2 linked regions of the Arabidopsis thaliana genome follow. The protein of the gene in region 1 interacts with the protein of each later gene in a pairwise test. Each region holds a gene or a part of one and is shown on either strand. Other genes may lie near its edges.

Evidence for each region. Proteins that work in one complex are often made in the same cells at the same time.
Region 2: the proteins of EXO84B (region 1) and EXO70A1 interact in a two-hybrid assay, tested with the Arabidopsis thaliana proteins (one study listed by BioGRID).

The regions. Positions count from the first base shown.
Region 1 is NC_003076.8:20,253,287-20,257,245, reverse strand, and holds the start of EXO84B (exocyst complex component 84B), read left to right. Parts: upstream 1-2,206; 5' UTR 2,207-2,479; coding exon 2,480-2,620; intron 2,621-2,781; coding exon 2,782-2,896; intron 2,897-3,096; coding exon 3,097-3,167; intron 3,168-3,327; coding exon 3,328-3,425; intron 3,426-3,635; coding exon 3,636-3,959. Other genes in the region: AT5G49840 (ATP-dependent Clp protease), read right to left, coding at 49-126, 207-281, 572-622, 836-915, 1,020-1,120, 1,208-1,269, 1,347-2,003. UniProt on the Arabidopsis thaliana protein: Component of the exocyst complex involved in the docking of exocytic vesicles with fusion sites on the plasma membrane during regulated or polarized secretion. Involved in polarized cell growth and organ morphogenesis.
Region 2 is NC_003076.8:887,566-891,165, reverse strand, and holds the start of EXO70A1 (exocyst subunit exo70 family protein A1), read right to left. Parts: upstream 1,601-3,600; 5' UTR 1,561-1,600; coding exon 1,402-1,560; intron 1,279-1,401; coding exon 1,183-1,278; exon of another isoform or gene 1,063-1,182; coding exon 857-1,062; intron 650-856; coding exon 572-649; intron 477-571; coding exon 246-476; intron 1-245. UniProt on the Arabidopsis thaliana protein: Component of the exocyst complex involved in the docking of exocytic vesicles with fusion sites on the plasma membrane during regulated or polarized secretion. Involved in polarized cell growth and organ morphogenesis.

The sequences.
Region 1 (3,959 bases):
CTATATGCAGTTGAGTTAAATTAAAGATTTCAAGTAGAAAAAGCTTACAGTTCCTTCCAGCAATTTTAGCAATGACTGTTGAACACCTTCTCCAGAGACATCTCTACCACCATTTGAGCTATGAGACTGACAGCGAAAAATAACTTGCTAAATATTGAGTATCAACCAATTCAGAATCAAAAGTAAAGAGTGAAGAAAACTCAGACCTTCATAGTCATTTTATCAACTTCATCAATGTACACAATTCCCCTTTGAGCTTCTTCTACATTGCACCCAGCTTCCTGCAGTAACAAAGTAAAGCGGTTGCTAATTAGCATCTAAGAAAGAAATTAACATGAATACTGCAAATAACAAGATTTTCCGAATACTAAAATAGTGGATCAAGAAGAAAGTGGTGAGAAGAAATTTTTTTTTTGAACTGTTACAAAGACAGGAACAAAGTACATTTGTAGTTTCAGACGTAGTCAGCGAAAAACTATTTCGTAAGCAGTTGTTAAGATTATATTACAAATGAAGGTATAAACAAATATGTAAAACCAGAGACATAATATGAGGTGATAGTAAGACATACCACATATAGTTTGTACAATATTGATTCCACATCTTCACCAACATAACCTGCCTGGACAAGAAGAGTAGTTTAGTTATGCTAAGAGCAAGACTTGTGTTAAGATTCCTCTAAAAAGCAAGAAAAACATCATCACTTCATTCAAAATATTTTTCGAAATGAGGGATTGTAAGGCATCCATCCTAGTGGGCCTAATGCTTCCCTAATGTACAACATACTAATGTTCTGAGTACCCAAACCTTAAGAGGGATAAGTGAAACAACTTGCCTGAGTTAGTGAAGTCGCATCAGCAATAGCGAATGGCACATTGACAATACGCGCCAAAGTTTTTGCCAGTAAAGTCTTTCCTGTTCTTATAACCAAGCAAGAAACATAAAGGCCAAGATCATTATCATACTAAACAGTATCTCCAAATACTCTCCAAAACAATATGGCAAGCAACAATATGCACCTGAACCAGTAGGACCAAGCAACAACACATTACTCTTATCCAACTCCACGTGATCAATATTATCATCCTCCATATCAATGTTATATGATTCTGAAGCAGACCTGTTATTAAAAAAAGAGCAAAAGAATCGAGCTTTGTTGTATCCCATATAAAGTATCAGAATGATAAGAGCATGGAAGAAGACAAACCCTTTTTTCCTAGAAGCATGATATATTCTTTTGTAATGATTATAAACAGCCACAGAAAGAACCTGCACAAAAGGAAAGATATGTAAACAAGAATCTAATTTAGACACAAAGAAGAAGAAGCTAGGGACCGAAACCAAACCTTCTTAGCCTTCTCTTGACCAATGACAAACTCATCAAGCCCTTGACAAATTTCCTTAGGAGTTGGAAGCTTAATCACAGATTGCTTCTCTTTATCACCACCATTACTTTCATCCTCCTCCTCATCAGCATCCTCACCATCTTCATCGCTTCTAAGACCTTGAATTTTCCAATTCCTAGGGAAAGATTTCTGATCATCATCATCATCATCATGGTCATCATCAGTTCCTTTAACTTTCCCGAGTTCAATAAAACTCCCTTGTAAAGGAGAGAGCTTGAATGGTCTAAAGTAAAAAGCTGTTTTGCATTGAGAACAGAAATTAACAGCTTGATAGATCCCTGGTTCTCTTGCTGTTAGAGACAATGGACGATTTGAGAAGATGACGTGCATCTGAGCAGAGCAACGAGGACAATTGACGTCACTTCTGATGTGATCATAATCATCTCCGCCGCCACCTCCGCCGCCGCCGCTGCAGGAGTCCCAAATACGGCGGGAGAAGGAAGAGGAAGGGATTAGGGTGTTGGAAGAAGGGCGTAGAAGAGGGATGTGAGGAGGAGAATCAACGGAGAGAAGGAATCTGAAACTGCGAGAGAGAAGAGATGATGATGTTATTGTCTTCCTCGAGACAAATCTGGAAATGGATAAGCTACAAAACATCTCTCTCTGTTGTCTCGATGATATGATTCTTCAAAGGTTTTTGCTCAGATTTACATTAACGGCAATCTTAAAGTAAGCATTCTTTAAAACGGCGTCGGTTTAGCTCAAGTGATGGCAGAGGTGAAGGATAAAGGAAAGCCTCCGTGCAAATGAGAGGGTTTCTGTTTTGCCGTTTACTAGTAAAAAATCCAGTAAAAAAAACCCAGAGTCGTTATTTTATTTATTAGTTTTCAACAAGAAAATTCGTTTGTTTAAGCAGACGAAAAAGCCAAGCTACCGTCGTTGGCTAAATCGCTCTGGTTGCCAACTCGATCATCATCTTCTTCTACCCACTTTCTCTATCTGCTCTCCGTATCTAGGAGCTCCCTCAGATCTGTGCTTAATTCTCCGGTAACATTACCGGCATCACTGGGATTGCTGATCTGGAACCGCTGTGAAATTTTAGGTTTTCTCTGAGAAGACAGGCAAGTTTAACGATGGCGGCGAAGACGGCCAGATCAAAAGCTACGCCGACGAAGGAAAATGGTGTCAGAGTCGAGGAAGGATTGAGTCTGTTCAAGTCTGATAAGTTCGATGCTGATGCTTATGTGCAATCCAAATGTTCTATCAACGAGAAGGTTTTTTTCTGTTCTTTTATCATTTCGTGTTCTTATTCTCGTTGATTTGTTGTTATCACGAGTGAGAATTTTCTAGGACTGAGTCTGTGGGGACTTGTTCGTAGATTTGGGATTGTATCATCGCAGTGTTCTTGTTTTGTTGCATTTCGTTTTAGCTGTAGGAAATCGTAATTGTGGAATGGATATTAGGTAGCAGCAGATTTTATACGCTCGAGAAGATGATGAGCAATGTAACAATACTCATTGCTTGTATGGTTGTTCTTGTGATCTTCTGGAGTTTGAAGGCAGTTTGTGAATTATGATTATGTAAAAATGTTACTCTTAAGAAATGCTGATAGGTTTAGTACCCATTTATAAGCTTTTAGCTTGCCAAATGATGTGTTCAGTGTAATACAGAATGTAGCTCATGTGAATATACATGGATGACTATGTCTTGTATCAGAGACAGAATCTGTTGTTCTCGTTTTCTGTTACAGAAAAGATTCAATTCGGTTATGGTATTGGGTATAAAGGGTGTCTCGTCTGTGTAGTCACTTTCTGTGATGGTGTGAGAGAGCTGAGGGAAAAGTTAGTTTAGGCCTTCTAGAGTTTACTACAAAAAGAGTAGTGTTTGATTTGGTTAACATAGATTGTTGGATTACTTGGCTGGACTCTTTGTTTTTTCTCAGTTATTTTGGGATGATGACATATTTCTGTTCGGTTCACAGGATATAAAGCAGTTATGCTCGTATCTATTGGATTTGAAGAGAGCATCTGCTGAAGAAATGCGGCGAAGTGTTTATGCTAATTATCCAGCCTTTATACGGTTAGCTGATATCCTGTCTGTTTTTAGTGCTTGGTTATTTTCTTTGAAGTTGATGTGATAATAAAGCTCTACTTTTTCAAGTTATTTCATTTCTTGTGGGTATTGGTGCATTTGCGTTTTGCATATGACTTCTTTTTCCTCGCACTACCTTATTGTTTTTTCTTGGCGGTGTGTTATTTTGAAAATTAAACTTTTTTCTGTTCTGTGCAGCACATCTAAAGAGATATCAGATCTTGAGGGGGAGCTATCATCTATCAGAAATCTTCTCTCCACTCAGGCGACTCTAATCCATGGCTTAGCAGATGGAGTTAACATTGATGACGATAAAGTTTCTGATGAATCTCTTGCGAATGGTTTATTGAATTTTGAGGACAACGGCCTCTCTGATCTGGAGAAATGGGCTACGGAATTTCCTGACCACCTTGATGCTTTATTAGCTGAAAGAAGGGTGGATGAAGCTCTGGCAGCTTTTGATGAGGGAGAAATTTTAGTATCTCAAGCAAACGAAAAGCATACTTTAAGCTCTTCTGTACT
Region 2 (3,600 bases), about 19 Mb from region 1:
GAAGGATAGTCAAATATAAACTCACAACTTGCAGAAACCATGGAAAAACTACTTTGTAAATGAGCGGTGACTGGTGAGAATTATATGTAAGTTAATTGTATACCCGCAATCGTTCAAAGAAACTATACCTTGACTCAGTACTTTGACTCATGCTACAATTATTAGTTGAAAATTTAAGCTAAGAGCCTGATTTGAAAATGAACTGTACGACATACAGGATGAATGACCAAGAATCAATAGTTCACCTATAAATTTGTAGCAACTGTTGTTGGTGACCAGCCTGAACCATTTGCTGTGCCAAGTCATGCAAAAGTGGCAACACCCGTGACGGAATGAGGATTGGAAGTGTATAAGCAGCAGTTTCCGCGTCATCATTGTGATGTCCTCCGTGGGGTTTTCCACCTCCATCCCCGTCTGAGGATGGTCTCAGTGAGTTGGGAAGGCCATCAAATAGGCGATCAGGCTCCACCGCTTTACTGATTATAACAAAAAAAAAGAGTTGGCCTTAGCATTCTTCCATCTAAAACCAGTTGTCTGGAACACTCGTATCATAGGAAACTTGTATATTGACAAGTGTTTGATTTCACAAAAAAAAATCTTTGTCAGGTGACAACTCCGATAATTTAGATAAAAGGTCATTCTAAGTATTCTAGGTTATTTGAAAGATAACTAAAGAAGTAAGACCATCATAGAGCGAAGACCAGTTCCCAAAAAAATACTAACTAGAAAAAGTAGCTAAAAATCCACAATAGCTTTGTTCCCTGAAGTTACAAGGTATGAGTCATAGTTATAGCAAGAGCATCAAGTTTGAAATCATGTAGCTTCTTAAACTCTTATCAGGCGCAGAAGCACAAACCTGTAAGAAGCTAGCAACTGCTTAAACTCTTCCTCCAGCTTTGACTGTGCTTTAGCAAGCAAACTATTTGCGTGGTTGAGAACTCCATCACTACTCTTAAAGCTTTTGTTGCTCATAAAATAACGAATAATCTTTCTGAGTTGAGCAATTGCATCCAGATAACTTTCCAGGTCCTCATGTGGCCCCTTGAGTACTTTAGTCTCTGCCTAGAATTGAATTGAGAGCATAATCAAAGACTATCTATTCTCAATGTAGATCATTATCAATTCTATCTATTTATACCGATCCATGTTAGTAAAATCAGAAGCAAGATTTGTAAAACAAACCTGACGGAGGAGATCGAATTGAGACAAAATAACTTCAGCAGCCTTAAGAGTCCTATCAATATTCTCATGAGCTTTCCTTATAGCATGAGTCCTAATCTGAGATTTCAAAACACAGTCAAACCAAAATCCGATCAAGTCAGCAAAACTCCATAGAGCTATAATACCAGATCTGGATTAGAAAACAATCAGAGAAGATGATCGGAGCACTCTAAACCACACCTGAGTAGGACGCATGGCGGTTTCAAGAGCAGACAGACGACTATCGAAGGAGCCGAGGATAGAAACAACATTATCGGTGATGGTTTGACTCTTTTGAAGAGATGCTCTCATCAACACAGCTCTTTCGCTTAGCAGATCCATTCTGCTATCAACAGCCATGGCGAATTCCAAAACTGGAGAAATACTTTTTCTCGTCGCCTTTCGAAAAATGGAAGTTGAAGAAAAAGAAAGAGAGACGACGAAGGATGACTCGGTTTGGTTTGGTGGGTGACAGAGGAATGCCGAGCCGGTTCAAAGCCAGCTAAGCTTTTTCTTTCCCCTTACTTAACCAGATTGTTGAACATTCTCTTAAAAATATTGACCTCTGTTTTAAATATTTTTATAACAGAATTATAGAAATAATTAAGGTTCAATAAAATTTTGTATTTCCATTAACCAATAATGTAATCGTAAATTAATATATGCAGACGCTAACCATAATAACACATATCGAATATTATATTCCAATAAAATTAAAGAAATAAGTACACTTCAATAAAAATTTGTCTTTCCATCAACCAGTAATGTAATTTTTCAATTTATTATAGTCAGATATGCTAACCATAATGTAATCCTCTCATAATTTTTCTTTACAAACTCGAAGTTTTTGGTGTTATATCGTTCGTTAAATGTCGACAACATTTATAAGCATTGAGCAGTGTTGACATATCATGGCCCACAAAATAAAAGGCTATTGTCCAAATACGAAATAGCCCATTAAATACGGCTACAAATTTGTTTTTACACAAAAGTCACAGTACTGTAGATCTATCTCTAAGAATATTATCCATTAACGACCAAATTTGTCTCAGAAAATAAATGGCTCAACAACAAACTAAATATCAACATTTTCTCAAGAGACATATTATAACTAAAAAGAAATGAACAAAACACTTGACATTAGTGTGTTGAAAACTAAAAAAAAAAGAAGAAGAAGAAGACTTATGAGGATTGTTAGACGAAGATGTAGCCTCTAGAGGATCTTTATTTTGTACTCAACTTGGCACCTTGGTGTGTCAATTTCGACACAACAGTTCTATCCTCCAATAAATTGAAATCACACCGAACATTCACACACACAAACATACACACACTTTATTCTCAATTTATTACGATGGTTTAAATGTTTACTAGAGAGCAGAAAAATATTTTAAATTCAAAAAGAGAAGAACAATAAAAAAAGGTTAGGCGAGCAAAAGGAAGATGATATTCCTAAGATACCTTTTCTTTTCATGGCTTTTCCGTCACTCATTCTGTTCCCAAAACCATGGACAACATTCTCATATTTTTGGATATTTAGAGAGAAAATTAGTTCCATATTTATTCATCTGCCGTTGATAACTTTTAGTTTATAGAAACATAAACCTTCTTGAAATATGTTTTACCATAAGAGGCATATTAAATAAATAAATAAAAAAAAATGACGACAAAAAAAAAAATCATACTGTATATAAAAAAAGAAAGTGTTTTGTGAGAAAAGAAGAGAAAATCAAAGTGCTTTGACTCTTAGTGACGTCTTAATCGGAGCGTGGAAAGCACGTTCTCAGAATGCGCGCGTAAACTTTTGCACAGGCCAGGGGTGGGGTTTCGCAGGGGCTTGGCTGACAGCAGACGAAGGCCAAACATGGCTCCCATAATTCATTTAACCATCACTGTTCGCCGACTCTTCTAGAAAAAAAAAAAAGTAGTTTTCAACCTTCTTACAAAATAATTAGTTCCATTGGTGACTAAAATTTAGTCATTGTAAGTTTTTTTTTTCCTTATTTCAATTTATATTGTAGAGAATACAATATAGCCTAAAGCAATGAGAAATGATGTTAATGACTAAAAAAATATGTATAGTAAGCTAGTGACATATCATAAATTGTTTTATAGATATAAAAAACAAAATTCATGAAAGTATAGACACATTAAAATTTAAAAATAATAATGAATTCCAACCACTTTTTCTAAGCGGTTCAATGAATCGTCTAATTTTTTAGACTGTTTAAATTAGTCTGTCCAAAAATAATGCTCATTCCCTTTTTACAATCGCTAATTTAAAACGCTTTAACAAACTAACTGACAAAATCAAATCGTTTCAATTGGTAGCCCACGAAAACGGTTAGTCTCCAACCGCAGTGGTTAATAGATATGGCAACCGCAGCCGCGATTCCAAAA